Diceros bicornis minor: one gene and its partner. The protein of the gene in region 2 interacts with the protein of the main gene of each other region in a biochemical or structural test. Links are inferred from orthologs where the notes say so. Each region holds a gene or a part of one and is shown on either strand. Other genes may lie near its edges.

The links. The genes of interacting proteins can lie anywhere in the genome.
Region 1: the proteins of HIP1 (region 2) and CLTB form a complex in vitro, tested with the Homo sapiens proteins (2 studies listed by BioGRID, with this or other methods). The link is inferred for Diceros bicornis minor from reciprocal best matches to the Homo sapiens genes HIP1 and CLTB.

The regions. Positions count from the first base shown.
Region 1 is NC_080740.1:89,660,398-89,670,822, forward strand, and holds the start of CLTB (clathrin light chain B), read right to left. Parts: upstream 4,246-10,425; 5' UTR 4,109-4,245; coding exon 3,922-4,108; intron 1-3,921. UniProt on the Homo sapiens protein: Clathrin is the major protein of the polyhedral coat of coated pits and vesicles.
Region 2 is NC_080765.1:3,062,325-3,072,782, reverse strand, and holds the start of HIP1 (huntingtin-interacting protein 1), read left to right. Parts: upstream 1-5,746; 5' UTR 5,747-5,781; coding exon 5,782-5,901; intron 5,902-10,458. UniProt on the Homo sapiens protein: Plays a role in clathrin-mediated endocytosis and trafficking. Involved in regulating AMPA receptor trafficking in the central nervous system in an NMDA-dependent manner. Regulates presynaptic nerve terminal activity.

The DNA.
Region 1 (10,425 bases), on a different chromosome or scaffold from region 2:
CTGCTCAAACGCTGCCTTATTAGAGGCCTTCCCAGCCCCCCGACATTCTCCCCTCGGCACCCCTTCCTCCCCCAGCTGTGTTTTCCCCATATAACTTCCCACAGCCTGATGTGTTCATCGTGTGTGTGTTTATGATCCGTCCCCCCGGCTTGAATGGACCCTTCCTGAGGGCAGGGTGTCTGTTTGGTCCACTGCTGGGGCCCAGCTCCTAGAACAGTGCCTGGCACGGAACACGGACTGAATGAGTATTTGCCAACTGAGTACATCAAACTCCGGAGCACAGCACAGGAGGACCTTTACAACCCGGCCCTGCCCATTTTTCCACCTCGCGGCCCACCAGTCCCTCCCATAGACCCTAAATTCTAGTCTCCTCCTTCCCCAAACACACCACTCCGCACCCCACGCCTTTCTTCCTGCTCCCCTCTCTACAGAATGCTCTTTTGGATCCAGTTGTTCTCCAAGGCCCAGTCCACACATCACCTCCTCTGGGAAGCCCTCCACTACTTCCCCTACTTCCCTAGGTGCTGATGGAAGGTCTCACGTCTGGGGTATCCCACAATATCATTCCCCACCCTCTTATGCAATCACTCGTGACCTCGCAGGGGTCATGCACTGCCTTCCTAGAACCTGTATCTCATGCAGTTCCTAAGGGCTCCTGCACAGAACGGGTGAGCAGCAAGCATGGGCTAAACGGAACTTGCATTGCTCTTCGGGGACCCACTGTTATCTGCAGGGCCTGTCTAAGGGCTCTGAAAACTGCAATGCCTTCTAGCAAAGAGCCGCAGGAGGCCACACGAGACTACCACAGATGGACAGCCATTACCAGCCAGATAAAGCTGTGAGCAGCAGTGACAGTGCTTTCAGCCTGGGGACTGAAGGGAGAGATGCTTCATCACATGGAAATAATCCCAGGTCGATATAAATCACAATCGACTTTGTTTTCAGAGTCAAACAGCGATAGATTCTGACCAACCATGTCAGCTGTCATCCCTACTCACTCAGATAGGGCTTCTCCTACATAGGGGGCCTGGTCCCTAAGCTAGGGTGAGGCTCATGCGGTTTCAGCGGCAGCATCTTCTGCAAAGGGGCTTCTTCTCCTGGGGCATCTCCTCTACCAGGGCCCATTCACAATGACGCTGGTCTGTACGCGGAGCCTTTCTGGAGCAGAAGTTGCACCACCCCACTCCACCCTGACCAGTCCCAGTCTCAGGCCCCTTGTCCGCAGGCAGCTGCCCAGTGCCCACTCTGGCCTTTGGAAAGACTCTCTGCCCCTGTCTCTCAGCCTCGTGAGTGTTCCTTTGGGGATGAAGTCTCAGCCCCTTTGACGATACACACACACCCCCACACAGAATCCTGAGGCTCTGTCCCCACAATGCTCTCCGATTAGGCTACTGCACAGCTATAATCGTGTGTCCACAGTCAGAGGCTGGCAGAACAAGCACACAGCAGACACGAGTCCCAGGGATAACTCCGGGGGTGTTGCTTCCCTCAGATTCCTGACCCCTTTTGGAACAGGGGCAGGTAAGGTCCAGAACATTCCTGGGAGCTTACCGAGGCCCAGCAGGGGAAATGGGCTTGCCAGGAACTGACTGGGCAAGTCAGGGGCAGAGCCAGGCCAAGCGCTCAGCAATCTGGGTGTGAAAATGTAAACTTTCTGGGCCCTACCCAAGGCTGATGAATGGAAACAAAGTGTCCGTTGCTCGGGCTGGCCACAGATCCAGCCCCCAGAGAGACTCAGTGTGGCTCAGGCTCAGGCCTACACCAGACACCTCTCTCCCCAGGAGTACCTGGGGGCCAAGTGCCAGGGCTCTCAGCACAGGGGCTTCATCTTAGAGACAGACTCAGAGGTGTTGATTGGCAGCAGCAGCAGAAACAGCTCCCGCCCAGCTCCCAGCAGGCCTAGGTGCTTTTCTCCTCCCATCGGGCTTCGGGCACTCACAGCTGGTCAAGTGGATACTTGCTCAGGACCATCTAGGCCTAGGAGGGTCAGGTCAATTCCATCCTGTGTGGCCACCAGTTGAGCTGCCCTCCCGCAGGACCGCCCTGCTCCCCACGCCCCACTTAGAAGGGCAGCCGAGCACGTGCAGCTTCGGTGGGTGTGGGTCTGGGAGACCCTGCTTCTCTTCCGGCCACCTCAGGTCTGGGGCCAATCTGTGCCCAATCCCTGCCAGAGAAGGAAACTTGCATCCAGGCTGTAAGCCCCAGGAGCCCCACTGTCCTGGGAGAGGCCACAACCTGCTCAACTCCCAGACACTTCTGCGTTCTCATCTGCGTTCTACCCACCCTTCTCTCTCAGGGGGTTCTGACATGGGCTTTTCTCAGCAGGGCCTCCCCCTGGCCACCCGGACTGGGGAAGATGGTCGTCTCAAGGAGGAGGTGTGGACAAATTAATACTGGTGCATGAACATGTGCAGGCATTTCCTAGGAATTCCCTGGGATGCGTGAGGGTCTGTGCTGAGGGGCCAGAGCTGCTGCTTCAGAAGACCTCCACTGCTGGCTTGGCTGGGTAGCAAGAGACCCCCCCCCATCACCCCAACATCCCATCACCTCCCAGCGTGACTGCCACAGCATTTGAAAGAGCATGGAGCCCAGAGTTGGGAGGTCTGGGATCAAGTCCCAGATCTGTCTCTCATGGCTGTGTGACTTTGGGCAAGATATTCAGGTTCTCTGGGCCTCCAGTTCCTTATATGTTACAAAAGACTTGTTACATTTCTCATATCAAGGCGATACAGAGATGCTTCAAACTCCTCAAGCCATAAGAACTGTCTTATTCATTTCTGTATCCCCAGTGGGCCTGGCGCACAGTAGGTGTTCAGTTAAAGTTGAATGCATACAAACATGACTATAAGGAGCCTTATTTATAAGTATCTTTTTTAAAATACATGAGCTACCACTTATTCCAACAGGCTTATAAGCCCCCAGCAAAATGACAACATTAGCAGGAAGCAAGGGCTGTTGTGGATGCACCCATGAAGGTGATTTCTCCTTTTTTTACTAAACATTTTAAGAAATTGTTCTTTCAAGGCAGAACCAGAGCAGGAACATCACTGATAAACATGCTGTCGCAGAGATCAGACCCTGAACCCTGAGTCTGAAGCCAACCACGATAGCTCTGGACCACCTTTGGGAAACCATTAACGGACGGTTTCAAGCCCCAAGGAGGACAGGACCACATCTGACTGAAGCTCTTTGTGGCCTTGCCCCCACTCTGGCTGTGAACTCTGAGCCAGGCAGGTGGAAGGCAGTGTGGTCAGGTGGAGAGGGCTTAGAGTCTGCCAGAAACAGGTTTAAATCCCTCCTCTGCCACTTACTAGTTGTTTCAATGGTGTACCTTTTGAGCCTTAACATTTCCATCTCTGAAATGGGTTCAATAAGGCGTATGAAATGATTAAAAGTAGGTAAAGTGCCTGGCCCAGTGGCTGCAGGATGGCAGGTGGTCCCCAGGAAAGGTCTGTGAGTTCTTGGAGCACCCAGTGACCCCTGCTTTCCCAGCTGTAGCAGGGAGCTAAGCCTGAGGGGCCAGGAGGTCTGCATTTGTGCCCACATCTGCATGGCTTAGCCAGGAGCCTGGGACAGCCGGACAACTCGAGGCTCAGGACAGACTCTCAGGGCTGGGCTGGGCTGGATTCCAGAGCCAGGCGGTGGTGGAGCTGGCCTGGGGATGAAATGTCATGATGAATTCCTGTTCCGGGAGCCGCCAGATCCACAGTCCCAGGCGCCGCCTCAAATGGGGATCTCCAAGAGGATTCCTCCCCACTTCCCCCAGGTCCCCTCGTGTACACACACAGCCCCAGGCCTGCTCCTGGCCGGTGGACAGCAGGCCCTCTTCACTCGAGCGCGGGCCCCGAGGCCCGGGCTGCGCTGGCAGGTCCCCGCGGTGCGAGCCCCAGGCCCCCGTTCCGGGCCGCCGCGCTGACTCACCCCCGCTCGCTGGTCCCGGCTGCGCGAGGGCCGCCTGGCCGCCGGCGGGAGCCCCGAAGCCCTCGTCATTCTCTATGCCCGCGATCTCGCTCTCCTGCTGGGCCAGGAAGGCGGCCGCCGGGTCCTCCTCGGCCGCCTCGGGGGCCCCGCTCTCCGACGACGAGAAGAAGCCAAAGTCATCAGCCATTTTCCCCGCGTCTCTGCCGAGGCGTGCGCCTGGCGCTCGGCTCTGCCCGGCGCGTGCCCGGCGGCCGCGACACTGTCACCCGAGCCGCCCGGGGAGCCGGCCTCGCGGGGACGGGCTCGGCGCGGCGGCCCGCACTGCCTCTCCGCCACCGGCCCGGCTCGCCTGTCACTGCGGCTGCCGGCGGGAGGAGCCGGGACGGGAATGCGGTGATGTCACCGGCCGAGGGAGGGGCCCGCAGGCCGGCCGGAGGTCGCTCGCGGCGGCCACAGGAGGGCGGCAGCAGGCCGGCGGCCCAGCCCGAGGGGCGCGGAGGCCGCGCAGCGCTCCCCGCTCCCTGCCGGCGGCGCCCGACCCCGGGGCACCGGCGCCGGGGACAGCTCCGGCCGCTCTAGAGGGAAGCGGGCTGGACCAGGTGGCCAGAATGGGCACCGGGCCACGGCGCGCGGGCAGCCCGGCCTCGGGCGCACTGAGGGCTGGTCGCTGCGGAGACCTTGCTCCTGATTTAGTCTGCAAAAGCTTCTTCACCCAAGCTGGGCGGATATTATAAATCCCATTATTAGGAGTTTCTTCCTCTGTAGGAAGAGGAAGACGAGGCTCGGAGAGGGAACACGAAGTCCCACGGCTTCCTTGCATCTTTCCTGCAAGTCCAGGGCCATTCCCCCTAGGCCGTGTTGCTTTAGTGCATTTTTGATGCGTTTCTGTCACTGGGGAGGCTTCAGCTCAGGCCGCCAGAGTTTGTATGACCTGACTGGGCCCCTACTTAGAGGCCGGCCCCTTAAATATGCCTTGAGTAAGAACCGGCCCGAGAAAGGCAGACCAAATTTGTCCAGGCAGCCTGCCCCTCCTCCACCCAGTGCCCTCAGTAAACAATCTGTGAACGCCCCCTCCCTGCCCTGGCCTCCCCAAGCTCAGGACAACAAAATTTAGTAAAACCCAGCCTTGGCCACCAGGAGGTTACCATCTATGAGACCAACAGATGGCAAATGGCCAGTCACAGCTCCCCGTGTGAGATGCTGACATGTAAATACAGGGTACCGGGAGACCCCAGAACTACCACCAGATCTGGACTTAGGATTTTCTCTTTCTGATTTGAGGCTTGCAGGTCAACTATGAACTGGAAGAAAGAAAAGAAAGCTGCATGCCAAGCTGAGGGTAGTGGTTCCCTTAGGGCGTGGGGAGTGGAAGTAGAGAGTTGGAGTGAAGGGAAATTTCAGTTTTGCTCAGTAGTACTTTGATGTAGGTTTCACTCTTGTGATGACAATATAGTAATTTATTAGTAGCAGAAAACATAAAGAAAGAAATTTAAGGCCCTGCACAACCTGGTCCAGGCACACTGCTCCACCATCATCTCACACCTCTTCCTCATTTCTGAAACCACAGGCTTGGGTGCTAGAAAGACCTAAAAAGTTTCCTAGTACAAGAAACCAGCGTTAATGTGGCTAGTTTTGTGGAGACAGAAGGACTAGTGAACATGCTATGTGCTCATTGCGACCTCCGAGCGACAAGGGACATTCTTGTTTGATTCCCCTGGAGACTTTGGTCAGTAACTCAAGCAACACTGCACCGCGTGTACACATGCAAATCCCCCAGACACTCTTCCCAACTACTTCCTCCTTTCTTCATGCTCCTTCCTAATTTAGGCAACAGCAGAATTTAGCTCCCTGCTTAATTTATACAACTTACTGGTCCAGACTATTCTGCAGCCATGCTTGCTCTTGTACATTACTCTTACTCTCAAGCATTAATATTAAAAATTATCATTAAAGTTATATTTTGAACCACGTAGCACTTCTTTGTGTTGGAGATTCTCAGTTTCTTGACAGCTCTCTAAAAATCTTTGGAGATCTCTACACATGATTCTAGTTTTCTAATTCTCATTTAATTGTGAAACTCAGTAATGGTCAAAAGTCATCAATAAATAAAGTTGAGTAAAGATATGGGGCAATCTCACAGAATCTAAATTTCATTTTATGAAGTCTGAAGTGGAGAAATTTTTTCAGTGGAAAATCTCGAACATATATAAGAATAGAAAGAATGATATAATGCAACTCCACGTACCAGCCCCTGAACCTCAGTATTACCAATGTATAGTCAGTCTTGTTTCATCTATAGCCTTTATTCCTCCCCATACATTATATAATTTCATCTGTAAATAATTCACTGTTAACCTCTTTTTTAAAACTGAAGAGCTTTTTAAAAAAATTGTGGTAAAAAACATAAAATTTACCATCTTTACCATTTTTAAGTGTACAGTTCAGTAGGATTAAGTACATTCACATTGTTGTGCAACAGATGTCCAGAACTTTTTCATCTTGCAAAGTAGAAATTTTACACCCATTAAAGAACTCCTAATTTCCCCTTCCCCAAAGCTCCTGGCAACCATCAGTGTACTTTCTTTTTTTTTTTTTTTTAAAGATTTAATTAATTAATTTATTTCCCCCCAAAGCCCCAGTAGATAGTTGTATGTCATAGCTGCACATCCTTCCAGTTGCTGCATGTGGGACGCGGCCTCAGCATGGCCCAAGAAGCGGTGCGTCGGTGCGCGCCCGGGATCCGAACCCTGGCCGCCAGCAGCGGAGCGCTCCCACTCAACCACTAAGCCACGGGGCCGGCCCAGTGTACTTTCTATTAACATGAATATGACTACTTTAAATACCACACATAAGTGGATTCATACAGTATTTGTCTTTTTGTGACTCACTTATTTTACTCAGCATAATGTCCTCAAGGTTCACCATGTTCTGATAGATGTTGCAGCATGTGTCAGAATTTCCTTCCTCTTTAAGGCTGAATAATATCCCATTCTATGATATATATGCCACATTCTCTTTATCCATTCATCCGTCCATGGACATTTGGTTTGCTTCTACATCTCAGCTACTGTGAATAATGCTGCTATTAGCACAGTGCAAATATCTCTTTGAGATCATGCTTTCAGTTCTTTCAGATGTACACCCAGGAATGGAATTGCTGGATCATATGGTAATTCAATTTTTAATTTTTTGAAAAATCACCATACTGATTTCTATAGTGGCTGCACCATTTTACATTCCCACTAATAATCTCCTTTCTTTTGGGGTGGGGAGGGATTGAGTTGGTTGATTTTACTCTCAAGGTTTTTTTCCTCACTTCTTTTCAACTTTTTATTTTGACATAATTTCAGACTTACAGAAAATTGCAAATAATTGCCATATGCCTCTCACCCAGGTTCCTCAAATGATATCATTTCATCATATTGGCTTTATTCTTTCTTCTTCTCTCTTTTTCCTAAACCGTTGGAGAGTAAGTTGCAGATATGATGCCCTTTCATCCCTAAATATTTCACTGTGTGCTTTCCTAAAAATAAGACATTCATTTAGATAGCCACTATACAATTATCAAAATCAGGATATTAATATTGATTGAATATCATTATCTAATCTATATAACTTACTCAGATTTCACCAAATATTGCAATAATAGAGGAAAATAAAATCCCAGATTGTGTATCGCATTCAGTTATCATATCTGTTTGATCTCCTTCAATCTGGAACAGTTCCTCTCCTTCTTTGTCTTTCATGACATCGACGTCTTGAACATTACTAGCCAGTTTTCTCGTCTTTCAGTTTGAGTTGTCTTATGTTTCCTCACGGTTGGATTCAGGTCACACACTTGAGGCAGGAATAGCACAAATGTGATGCTGAGTTCTTAGTGCATCATATTGGGAGGCACATGATGTCAATTTGTCCTGTTATTAATGATGTTAACGTTGATCATTTGGTTAAGGTGGTGTCTATTAGGGCCCGTCCCGTGGCTTAGCGGTTAAGTGCGCACGCTCTGCTGCTGGCGGCCCAGGTTCGGATCCCGGGCGCACACCAACGCACCGCTTCTCCAGCCATGCTGAGGCCGTGTCCCATATACAGCAACTAGAAGGATGTGCAGCTATGACATACAACTGTCTACTGGGGCTTTGGGGGAAAAAATAAATAAATAAATAAAATTAAAAAAAAAAGGTGGTGTCTGTCAGGTTTAAATTACTACTTTTCGCCTTTCTAATTAATAAATATCTTATGGAGAGGTACATTAAGACTACATTAATTTTATGTCACTCCTCAAACTTTCACCTATGCATTCATTATGGCATCTATTGATTTTTGCATGATTCAGGTATTATAATGATGGTTGTCAAATGGTAATTTTCTAATACCATCATTCTTTACACATTTATTAGTTGGTCTTCTAATATAAGGAAAATGTTTGTTTGTTTGTCTGCATGGATTCACGGACTCTTATTTTATCCAATGGATTGTAATGCTTTGCTATCATTATTTATTTTAGTGCTCAAATTGTCCAAGATAGGGTCAGTGGGAGTCCTTTCAAGCTGGCTCCTGTATTTTTGATATGTCCGCATCGTCTTTGAGCTCTGTCTTACTTTTTGGCACAACAAAATGTCCCATGCTGAAGAATAAGCCATTTCTACCTTTGAGTGGAAAACGAAGAAAGATCTGTGTGCCGGATGTGGTCATTGCTGTGGCTGTGTTTCTTATTCTCCTTCTCCTCCTCCATTTTTATCTTCAACTTCTTTTTTGCATAACCACAGAATTATCATAACATCAAAAAAAGTTTCTCCTCCAAATTCCTTAATGTCACCCATTATCTAGTCAGTATTCAAATTTCCCCAATTGTCCCATAAATATCTTTTTATTGTTGGTTTGCTCACTTAGGATTCAAATAAGGTCAACACATTGCATTTGGTTGATATGACTTCTAAATTCTTAAAAAATAATTTTTTTGTTATGGACAATATCAAGCACATACAAATGTAGAGATAAAAAAATTAATCTAATAATATATAATACAATACTGAAATTATAATTACAATAATATAATATAATATAATATACCCCAGTGTGCCCATCACCCAGCTTCAATGGTTATCAATATTTGGCCAAACTTGTTTCATCTGCACCCCACCACTGTCCTGTGCTTTAATTCTTTTAAAGCAAATCCCACACACTATATCAATTCATCCATAAATACTTCACAAAAATAGGACTTCTTACCTTCTTTTAATATAACCACTATATAATTATCACAGGTAAAATTTTTTAACAATATCAGTATCAGTAAATATTCGGTCAGGATTCAAATTTTCATGAACGCCTTATAATTTTTTTTGCAGTTGGTTTGTTAGAATCAGGATCTAAACAACGTCTCCACATTGTGTTTATTTGTGTCTCTTAAGTCCTTTTGAAAAAATCAACTTTATGAGGTAAAATTTATCATCAGTAAAGCATGCCCTTTTTAAGTGTACAATTCCATGAGTTTTGACAAATGTGTACACCTGTGTAACTACCAGCACACTCAAGATATGAAACATATCCATTACCTTAAAAAGTTCTCTTGTGCCTCTTCTCAGTCAGCTCCCCCTACTGCACACAACCCCCAGCCCCACGCAACCACTACTTTCTGTTACTATCGGTTACTTTTTACATTTATTTATTTATTTTTTTTTTTGCTGAGCAAGATTAGCCCTGAGCTAACATCTGTGCCAATCTTCCTCCACTTTATACGTGGGTCATTGCCACAGTGTGGCTGACAAGTGATGTAGATTCACACCTGGGATCCGAACCCGCGAGCCCAGGCCCACCAAGCAAGGCGTGGCAAACTTAACCACTATGCCAGGGGGCCGGTCTCCTCAGGTTACTTTTTGTTAATTCATTCATGGTGTTGCATGTATCAGTGTTTTATTGCTATGTAGAATTCTGTAATATGAATATAACGTACATTGTGTATCTTTTCACCGGTTGATAGACATTAGAAGTATTTCCAAATTTTTGCTGTGTTGCCTAAAGCCATTGTGCAAGTTCACATACGATCTTTGTATGGACGTGTTTTCCTTTCTCTTGGTAAACATCTAGGAGTGAAGTTGCTGGGTTGTATGGAAAGTGTATGTTTAACTTTATAAGGAACAGCCAAAGTGTTTTCCAAAGTGGTTGCACCATTTTACATTCCTACCAGTAAAATGTGACAGTTCCTGTTGCTCCACATCCCCACCAACACTTGGTCTTTTAAATTTTAGCCTTCCTATGTGTGCAGTGGTATCTCATTATGGTTTTAATTAGTACTTCCCTGATAACTAATAATGTTGAGAATTGTTTCATGTTCTTATTATCCATTTGCATATCCTCTCTTACGAGGTGTCTGCTCAAATCTTTTGTCCATTTTATTTATTTATTTTTTGCGAGGAAGATCAGCTCTGAGCTAAGATCCATGCCAATCCTCCTCTTTTTGCTGAGGAAGATTGGCCCTGGGCTAACATCCGTGCCCATCTTCCT
Region 2 (10,458 bases):
GGGGCCGGCCCGGTGGCGCAAGCGGTTAAGTGCGCGCGCTCCGCTGCGGCGGCCCGGGGTTCGCTGGTTCGGATCCCGGGCGTGCACCGACGCACTGCTTGGTAAGCCATGCTGTGGCGGCGTCCCATATAAAGTGGAGGAAGATAGGCACCGATGTTAGCCCAGGGCCGTCTTCCTCAGCAAACAAAGAGGAGAATTGGCGGATGTTAGCTCAGGGCTGATCTCCTCACAAAAAAAAAAAAAAATTTAAAAAAAAAAAAAAAAAAAAAGAAATAGAGATTCTGAATAGACCAATCACAAGTAAAGAGATAGAAACAGTAAAAACCCTCCGAAAAACAAAAGTTCAGGACCAGATGGCTTCTCTGGAGAATTCTACCAAACATTCAAAGAAGATTTAATACCTATCCTTCTCAAACTATTCCAAAAAATTGAAGAAGACAGAATGCTTCCTAACTCATTCTATTCGGCCAACATTACTCTGATACCAAAACCAGACAAGGACAACACAAAGAAGGAAAATTACAGGCCAATATCATTGATGAACATAGATGCAAAAATCCTCAACAAAATATTGACAAATCGAATACAGCAACACATTAAAAGGATCATATACCATGATCAAGTGGATTTATACCAGGGATGAAGGGATGGTTCAACATCCACAAATCAATCAATGTGATACACCACATTAACAAAACAAGGAATAAAAACCATATGATCATCTCAATAGATGCAGAGAAAGCATCTGACAAGATCCAATATCCATTTATGATAAAAACTGTCAATAAAATGGGACTAGAAGGAAAGTACCTCAACACAATAAAGGCCATATATGACAAACCCACAGCCAACATCATACTCAATGGGGAAAAACTGAAAGCCATCCCTCTGAGAACAGGAACAAGACAAGGGTGCCTACTCTCACCACTCTTATTCAACGTAGTACTGGACGTTTTGGCCAGAGCAATTACGCAAGAAAAAGAAATAAAAGGAATGCAAATTGGAAAGGAAGAAGTGAAACTCTCACTGTTTGCAGATAGCATGTTTCTATACATAGAAAACCCTAAAGAATCCACCAGAAAACTATTAGAAATAAGCAACAACTATAGCAAAGTTGCAGGGTACAAAATCAGCCTACAAAAATAAGTTGCACTTCTATACACTAATAATGAACTAGTAGAAAGAGAAGTTAAGAATACAATCCCTTTTACAATCACAACAAAAAGAATAAAATATCTATGAATAACTTTAATCAGGAAGGTGAAAGACCTATACATGATAACTATAAGACACTATTGAAAGAAATTGAAGAAGACATAAAGAAATGAAAAGATATTCCATGCTCATGGATTGGAAGAGTAAACATCATTAAAATGTCCGTATTACCTAAAGCAATCTACAAATTCAATGCAATCCCAGTCAGAATCCTAATGACATTCTTCACGTAAATAGAACAAAGCATCCTAAAATTTATATGGAACAACAAAAGATCCCAAATAGCCAAAGCAATCCTGAGAAAAAAGAACATAGCTGGAGGCATCACAATCCCTGACTTCAAATACTACAAAGCTATAGTAATCAAAACAGCATGGTACTGGCACAAAAACAGACACACAGATCAATGGAATAGAACTAAAACCACAAGTCTATGGACAGCTACTTTTCGACAAAGGAGTCAAGAACATACAATGGAGAAGGGAAAGTCTCTTCAATAAATGGTGTTGGGAAAACTGGACAGCCACATGCAAAAGAATGAAAGTAGACTATTACCTTACACCATACACAAAAATCAACTCAAAATGGATTAAAGACTTGAATGTAAGAGCTGAAACCATAAAACTTCTAGAAGAAAATGTAGGCAGTATACTCTTTGACATTGGTCTCAGCAGCATATTTTTGAAACCACATCTACTCAGGCAAGGGAAACAAAGGAAAAAATAAACAAATAGGACTACATCAGACTAAAAAGCTTCTGCAAGACAAAGGAAACCATGAACAAAATGAAAAGACAACCCACCAACTGGGAGAAAATATTTACAAATCATATATCCGACAAGGGGTTAATTTCCAAAATATATAAAGAACTCATACAACTCAACTACAACAACAACAAAACAACCTGATCAAAAAACGGGCAGAGGATATGAACAGACATTTTTCCAAAGAAGATACACAGATGGCCAATAGGCACGTGAAAAGATGTTCAACATCACTAATTATTAGGGAAATGCAAATCAAAACTACAATGAGATAACACCTCATACCCAACAGAATGGCTATAACTAACAAGACAAGAAATAACAAACATTGGAGAGGGTGTGGAGAAAAGAGAACCCTCATACACTGCTGGTGGGAATGCAAACTGGTGCTGCCACTATGGAAAACAGTATGGAGATTTCTCAAAAAGTTAAAAATAGAAATACCATATGATCCAGGTATCCCACTACTGGGTATTTATTCAAAGAACATGAAATCAACAATACAAAGAGATCCATGCAGCTCTATGTTCATTGCAGTGTTATTCACAACAGCCAAGATGTGGAAGCAACCCAAGTGCCTATCAACTGTTAAATGGATACAGAAGATGTGGTATATATATACAATGGAATACTACTCAGCCATAAAAAAAGACCAAACGGTCTCATTTGCAACAACATGGATGGACCATGAGGGTATTATGTTAAGTGAAATAAGCCAGGCAGAGAAAGACAAATACCATATGATTTCAATCATATGTGGAAGATAAACACATGGATAAAGAGAACAGATTAGTGGTTACCAGAGGGGAAGAGGGTAGGGTGGTGGGCAAAAGGGGTAAAGGGGCACACATGTATGGTGACAGATAAAAACTAGACTCTTGGTGGTGAGCACGATGCAGTCTATACAGAGACTGATATATAATAATGTACACCTGAAATTACACAATGTTATAAACCAATATGACCTCAATAGAATAATTTTAAAAAATGTATACCTGGCATAATCTAAATACAAGTCCTTTTTTGGATGAATGTTTTGGAAATATCTTTCCCAGTCTGTGCCTTCCTTTTCATTTTCATAGCATTCTTTCGAAGAGCAAAGAGAAGTCCTATTTATTGATTTTTCCCTCTTTTATACTTCATGCTTTGGGTGTTGTATTTGAGAAACCTTTCCCAAACCCAAGGTCACTAAGATTTTCTCTTATAAGTTTTATAGTATTAGTTTTTACACTTTGGTCTATGATCCATTTTCAGTTAGTTTTTGTATATGGTGTGAGGAAAAGATTGAGGTTCTTTTTTTTTTTTGGCACATGAATATCCAATTGTTCTAGCACCATTTGCTGAAAAGATTATCTTTCTTCCATTGCATTGCCTGCACCTTTGTGGAAAATCACTTGACTATATATCTGTGGGTCTGTCTCTGTGGGTTTCCCAGAGATCAGGATTCCACGTCTGAAAACCGGGCATCCTGAGAAGGCATAAGACAAATGGTCCCTAAATTGCTGGGAGAGATGTAAGAGCTGAAAGAAGCTAGCAGAGTCCTGTAGTTTACATCCTGGAGGAGGGTTTCTCTCAACCCTTGGCAAAGGGTTTTGCTGCTGCAGCAAGTGAGAAATCCTTATTTTTCTTTATTGCTGAGTTTCACAGAGGTAACTAGCTTGAGTCTTTCTCCACAGGGTGTCTCCAAACCACAAATTCCTGATTCCTACTGGGGTTTATTCTAATAAGGAGTAGGCTGATCCCTTAATCCCTGTTTAAAGGGCCCCTGTTTATTGCAGCTATAAACTCTGGGCAAAGGATCATAAATCACTCTTTAGTTGGGTCCAGAGCATGAGGTGGGGGCAGGACTAAGAATGGGCACACAGAGGTAATATTATGATGAACCCTGTCTGTTTTCCCTGTAGGTATAGTCCTGTGAGCTCCTGGGCTGGGAACTTCCAAGGGCTGCTCCAGATCCAGCCTCCACTCGGCTCTGTGCCTGGAAGGAGGGGTGGGGGTAGTACTAACGGATCGTCCTTGCCCTCCTTCCCCCTGGGTTCGGCCAATGGGAGGCACTAGTAGGAAATCAGAGGACGGGAGGGATAGAGAGAGATTGGGCTCTTCCAGTGACTGGGTTTCTACCTAAAGCCACGGCTCTTGTCGGGTGCCTCCTCTCCCAAGACTAGAGCTCGCACCTGGTTCCGGTAAGCGCCCTCCCCGTGTCCCTTCAGGGCTAGGGCTGGTAACAGCTTCCCACTGTTCTATCCCCGGGTGCTTCACCCTCCCTGGCTGATCCCCTTATTCCAGGTTACAATTTTGCACATAGTTCCTTTCTCAATTCAATTAGCCCTTCCAGGGTGCAATCCCTCCCCCGCTGCTGCTCCGACTCATACAACATCACAGCCCCTAAACACCCCGAAACGCGGCCCTCAGTTCCAGTAATGGTGAAACCAGTGTGCTTGCTATGCAAATGAAGTCTCAAGGCAATTTCCCCTCCATCACATTGCCACCCTTCAATCCTTCCTCTCCAGAAGTTCCGGCCCCACCGCTGCCTCCTCCCTCCGCCTATTTCCCTTTGTCTGGGCCTCCTCACAGAACCGCCCACAGGAGGAAACTTTCTCCTCTCCATTCCGGGGTAGGCCCTCTCGGTCTCTCACGTACTGCTGGAGTCTCCCCGAAGAGTCCCTCCCTGCCCTTTCGCCCCGCAATGCCGTCCACACAATGCCAGCCCGGCAAAGCGCAGGTCTGTGCAAAAGCCTGCAGTAGCTCCGTAGCGCCTGCAAAGGCCCGCCCCCTCTTTCACTTCTGTGTTGAATGTGTGAACTTTTATAAAAAGCTCTTAGTTTAAATATTTTTAATGCCTTTCTTTGAGTTTCAAAGCATTTTTTTAACATGAAAATTTAATGGAAAACGTCTAACTTTCTTCAGCATCTCCGCTAGGGATCACACTTCCCTCCAGCTGACATCTGAGCAGGATGGGAGGGGTAGCCCGGAGCCGTGGATAAACAAAGTATCCACAGGGGTTTCCACCAACGAACACGTTCTGGCCGGGTCAAGATGATGTAGGGTTTGGAAAGAAGATGCCAGGAGGTTCCCACTGACCCGGCCCAGCGCTCCCGGGTGTGTGAGGATTACAAAGCGGATGGACAGGGACTCAGCGCAGGGTCAGGCTGAGGGAGGAGGCAGGTGAGCTGGGTAGGGGGCCGCCACCCACGGCGCCAGGTCGGGCAGACGCTGGCCCTTCCTACGGGAGCCGGGCCTGGGCGCAGCGCTTCCCGGGGCTCCGGCCGCCGAGCCGGTCCATCCCGCCCTCTCTCGTCCCCGACCCGAAAAGCGTAGACAGGCCATTCCCGGGCGGGTCCGGGTCCCCCGCGGGAGGCCCGACTCCGCGGCCAGCGTGACCCTCGCGCACCGCGCCGGGACCTCGCAGCGCCCCCGGCAGCAGCAGCGCGTGGCTCGCGGGGAAGCGCCGGGCGCGGGCGGGCGCGGTGGCAGGGGCGGCGAGGGCAGGTCAGGGCAGCCCTAGGCCCCACCCCCGCAGGGGGCCGCGGACCGGTGATGGACAGGCCTCCGGGCCGGTCGCTGCGCGCCTCGCGGTCCCGAGGGCCCAGCCGGGCGGAGCGCGCCGCGGGGCGGGGCGGGGCGGGGCGGGGGCGGGGGCGTCTCTGGGAGGGGCGGGGCCTAGGGAGAGTAGCGGCGCTCCCAGCCAATGGGAGGCAGGGGCCGTCCCGTTAGCGCCGGATCCCAGCGGGTGGGGCGGGCCGGGCGGCTCCGTGGGGATCCCGGGGCGGCCGAGGGCCGCGACTCGGATCCGCGCGGCGACATGGACCGGATGGCCAGTTCCATGAAGCAGGTGCCCAACCCCCTGCCCAAGGTGCTGAGTCGGCGCGGGGCGGGCGCGGGGGTGGAGGCGGCCGAACGGGAGAGCTTCGAGCGGACTCAGGTGAGGACCGGGGGACCGCGGGGCTTGCACGGCTAGGGCACCCCGAGAGATGCAGCGTCCGGGAGGGGCTTTGAAGGGAGTAAGGGTCTTGCAGGCCCAAGGGAGGACGGGGCAGGGGGGCCGAGAGAGGGAGCCTCTGGCGCGCAGGTCGAGGCGATCCCGGGAAGGTCGGGGACCCGGGCATCCCAGCTGGTCTGGGGAAAAGGGCAGGGCGGCCCCGAGGAACGGCACGATCCGGGCGGCCCGGCCCAGGGTGGCTGGTCCCGGCGGCACAGGGCAGGTGAGAGGGGAAGGCACCGAAAAGGGACCGAATGGAAGGGGAAGCGTACTGGGGGGCCGCTCGGAGACGCAAGTGTGGCGGCGGAGAGTGGGGCGCTGGTTTGGGGATGTGAAGGATGGGGAGCCCTTTTCTCCCCTCGCGATCGCTTCTCGGTTGCACTGGCATCCCCCCACCCCGAGCACCGCCTTCCCGGTGCCTCTTGCTTGGCACACAGCATCCCAGCTGTCGGCCTCCCCGGGCCGGGCCAAAGGGGTCTGAGCGGTGAGAAGGAATGTAGGAATGCGAAGTGTGGACGAGCTTGGAAAATGACTGGGGACTGGAGGAGGGGGCCGGCCAGGGGCAGGAATTGACGCGCTTGGCCCCACCGTCCGCCACTGGTCAGGACGGGCTGCCCAGAGGTGCCGGGAGCCCCAACTTGGGGTTTTGGTTTCATCCCCCAAGATATGCCTGACGGCTAATAGGCAGACTGCCCTGTTTGTCCAGCCAGGGCTGGGGGCCAAAATTCCTCAGTGTCATCAACAAAAAGCCACAATCCATTTTTACCTCAGAGTTTTAATGCCTGGTGTATTGATTTGACTGAATAAAGCTGACATGTTTCTGGTGTTCATCAGCTCTTTGTATGCAAAGTTCATTTTAAATGGCATAGCACTTCTCTTAATTCTAGTGCCCAGGTCATGGGGGCAGGCTCGTTCTCTGCTCTCGCTCTCAGAGTGGGACCTTTGGAGACCCTGCTGGGCCACCACTGCCAGCGCTGGTTCCCCTGCTGCGTTCTCCTTCTTCCCCCAAACACAGTACCACGTGAGGGAAGGGCTTTGGGGTTTTGGATAGGAAAGACTGTGAGGACCCGAGTGTTCTAAATATGGAGCTTACGGAGGATAAAGCTTTTCACCCCCAGGGAACTTCATCCTCTTCTTTCCAGGTGCCTGTGGCCCATCTGGTTACAAGGGTGTCTGGGTGATGTAAAGTGGGGAGTGTTCTCTCCCTGGATCATCCTACTCCAGGCAGGATGGGAGAGATGGCCTTTCACTTCTGCCTCCCAGGGTCCAGCTGGGTTTGAGGCTTATTCTCTGGCTTTGTGGCCTGGACCACTGAAAAGAAGGAAGCTTTCCTTCTGCCTGTCCACCACGGGTGTTACTGCCTCGACTAGCTGCCTGGTCACACGAGGCTTCTTGCTCCAGAAAACAGTGTGAATGTTCTTCTTTTTTTAATGGAAAAGAAAAATAAATAGGTGTTATTTTATAACCCATTCCTTCTAGAGTCTCAAATAAGTAAAAACTGGAGCAATAGAGAAATACACATAAAGCTTTGACCCATTGTAGTGATGGAAATTAGGTTTGTGACAGTTTCCACTCATGACTGGCATATCCCCTCACTATCCAGGGATAGCTGAACAAGGAGAGTCTAGGTCAGTGTTTTCCAGTGTTTTGCTTTCTGTGGGACACTTGTAATTGGCCAGATTTGATCTAGTGGCTTGTGTGTGGGGGGGGTGAGGAGGTAAACTGGATCAGGAAAAGACAGTGTTTCTATTGTTGACACTGTTAGAGGGTAGAAGAGTGAAGAAAAAGAAAAGAGAACCATCCTGAAACTTAGCTTTAGTCAACCTGCAAAAATTTAGTTTAATGACTATCTATCAAATGTATTATAAGATATAAAAATGAGTTAGAAAATTTTAATGAGGTAAGAGACCATGAGAGTCAGCCAAGGTAGAATGATAATTGTAACTAATTATTAGGTTTGGCACTGTTCTAATTACTTTATTGTTTTACCTTCTTTAATCTCCACAAGGACTGATGAGGTGGGTGTCAGCCACATTTTACTTTAAGAAACTAGAGGCACAGAGAGGTTAAGTGACTTGCCCAAGGTCACACAGCTGGAAGTGGTCCCAACCTTTAACCACTGTCTGTCTTGTGTTGCCTCTGAGTGTTGGGCAGAGCACTGGCATTGGAGTTGGAAGAGGTTGGTGAGTTTTACAGCTGGGCACGTGGATAGGCTGAGTAGCCTCAGGCAAATTGTCTAACCTTTTTTTTTTTTTATAATTTTATTTTATTTATGTTTTTCCCCCAAAGCCCCAGTAGATAGTTGTATGTCATAGTTGCACATCCTTCTAGTTGCTGTATGTGGGACGCGGCCTCAGCATGGCCGGAGAAGCGGTGCGTCGGTGCAGGCCCGGGAGCCCAACCCGGGCCGCCAGCAGCGGAGCGCATGCACTTACCCGCTAAGCCACAGGGGCCGGCCCTGTCTAACCTTTCTAAGCCTCAGTTTCCTTATTGTAAAATAAAGATAATACTCACCTGGCAGGTTTATTGTGGGAATTAAATAATAGACGTGAAGGCATTTTGTAAACTGTGGAGCACTATTTCAATGATGATTGCTGTAACGTGATTGGGGAGCTGAGACCTAAGAAGGCACAGGTGTGGGTAATCGTGCAGCCTCTGACTAACTCCAGTCAAGGGCCAGGAGTGTCCCTAGGTAACGGGATAATTACCAGGAGGTTGGAGCCCTCACCCCAGGACTGCGCCCCCCCCCCCTGAGGGCAACGTGTCTGGTTCTGGCGTGTGTGCCCCACACCTGAGGCTTGTGTTATGGGAACTGGCTGGTCGAGGGGAGGAAGTGACTGCTCAGTTCCATCCGGGAAGCCCTGGCCTGGGTGTCGCTCAGCCCTGGGCTACAGGGGACATCTGTCGTTACCTGACGTTTTCCCTAGTGGCCACATTCCCTCCCGATGCAGCCTTGTCTCCTGCACCCTGGGTCAGGAGCCCTGCCTGTGCCCTGCAAGGACTCGGATCTCTCTGCCTTCCTTCTGCTCAGGCCGGTGTCCCGGCTGCCTGTGCCCTCAGACCAGCTTGTCTCCTCACTCCTGCCAGTCTCTTCTGGGAAGCCTTCCCTCCTCAACAATCCTGGCATCATCCTCACACTTCACACGGCCCTTGTTCCAGCCAGAGTGGGGACCCCAGACCCGCCTACCACAAGCCCCATCTCCAACCAGACCCCTGGTGTGTCCCCTACCCTGCCCGTCACAAGCAACCTTCAGGCTCTAGGGAGATGAACAGTAGTTCTCGCCCTCAAAAAAGATGCTGTAATAATGACACCTTGCCTGGAGCACTTTACAGTTTATAAAGCCTGTTTGGCCATCATGGAGGCTGCATGGGGGCGGGGTATTTTTATGGATGAGAGCTGGTAACTTGTGCAGGACCACTGGTTGGTGAGTGGAAGGGTCGGGATTCAGATCTTGGGCCCCTGCCACCACACTGTCCTCATGTCGGCCAAGACGGCAATTCTGGAATGAACCAGGAGGGCTGCCACTTGCAAACAAAATCCCTGTCTGTATTTCCTTAGCTGGAAATGGTTTTTTCTGTGGTCTGTTTATTTTTTTGGCATTCATTTAGAGAGCATAGACCGTGGAGGGGACACAGAGATGAGGAAGATCAAGAGACCAGCCCCACAGGGGCTCTTGAGTCAGCAGGGAGGTGGACTGGCCACTGTGGGGCTCCTCTGTGGGGAGGACGGAGGAAGGACCTGCAGCTCTGGCGTCGTGGGAGCTGTCAGCAGTGCCGGGCCTACTCACTCAGAGCCTGCATTTCAACCAGACCCCGGGTCGTGCTGTGCACACCGAGGTTTTAGCAGCCCTGCTCGGTGGCAGGTGAATGCTGGGATCAGAGGATGGGGCTCTGGACACACAGAGCAGCCCTTAGAGAGCCACAGTCTCTTTGGGTGGAGCCCACAACAGAGTACAAGATCCTAATGAATCATGTGCTGGGAAGAGCCAGGAGACTCAGGTTCTAGAGAGGAGGAGACAGAAACATATTTATTGAGGGCCTGCTGGGCACTAGGAACATGTTAGGTGATTTCTTTTCATTATCCTATTTAATAGCTTAGGCTCCGAGAGGCCAAGTGACTTGTCTAAGGTCACACAGCAAGTCAACAGAGAAGTCAGGGCTTCAAAATCGGATGGCCATGTCCTCTTCTCCATGTTTAAGTCAGGGGCTCTTTCCACCATCTTGCTCATGCTCTTCATCAGATGCTCAGCCTTCGATTCACCAGCTGAAAAATTTTCGGCTTGGACCAGAGGGATCAGTGGTTCTTGACCCTGGCTGCACAGGAATGGCTTCTAAGATAACAGGTACTGCACCCCCCGTCCCCTGTTTGCCCTCTTAGTTGGTATTGAAAATGTAGGAAGGACCCTAAGCTTTCTTTGGGTCTGTGGTTTTGTACTCTTTTGGTTTCCTCCCACTAATACCAGTGAGAATAGCCAACATTTACCGCACTTACTATGTATA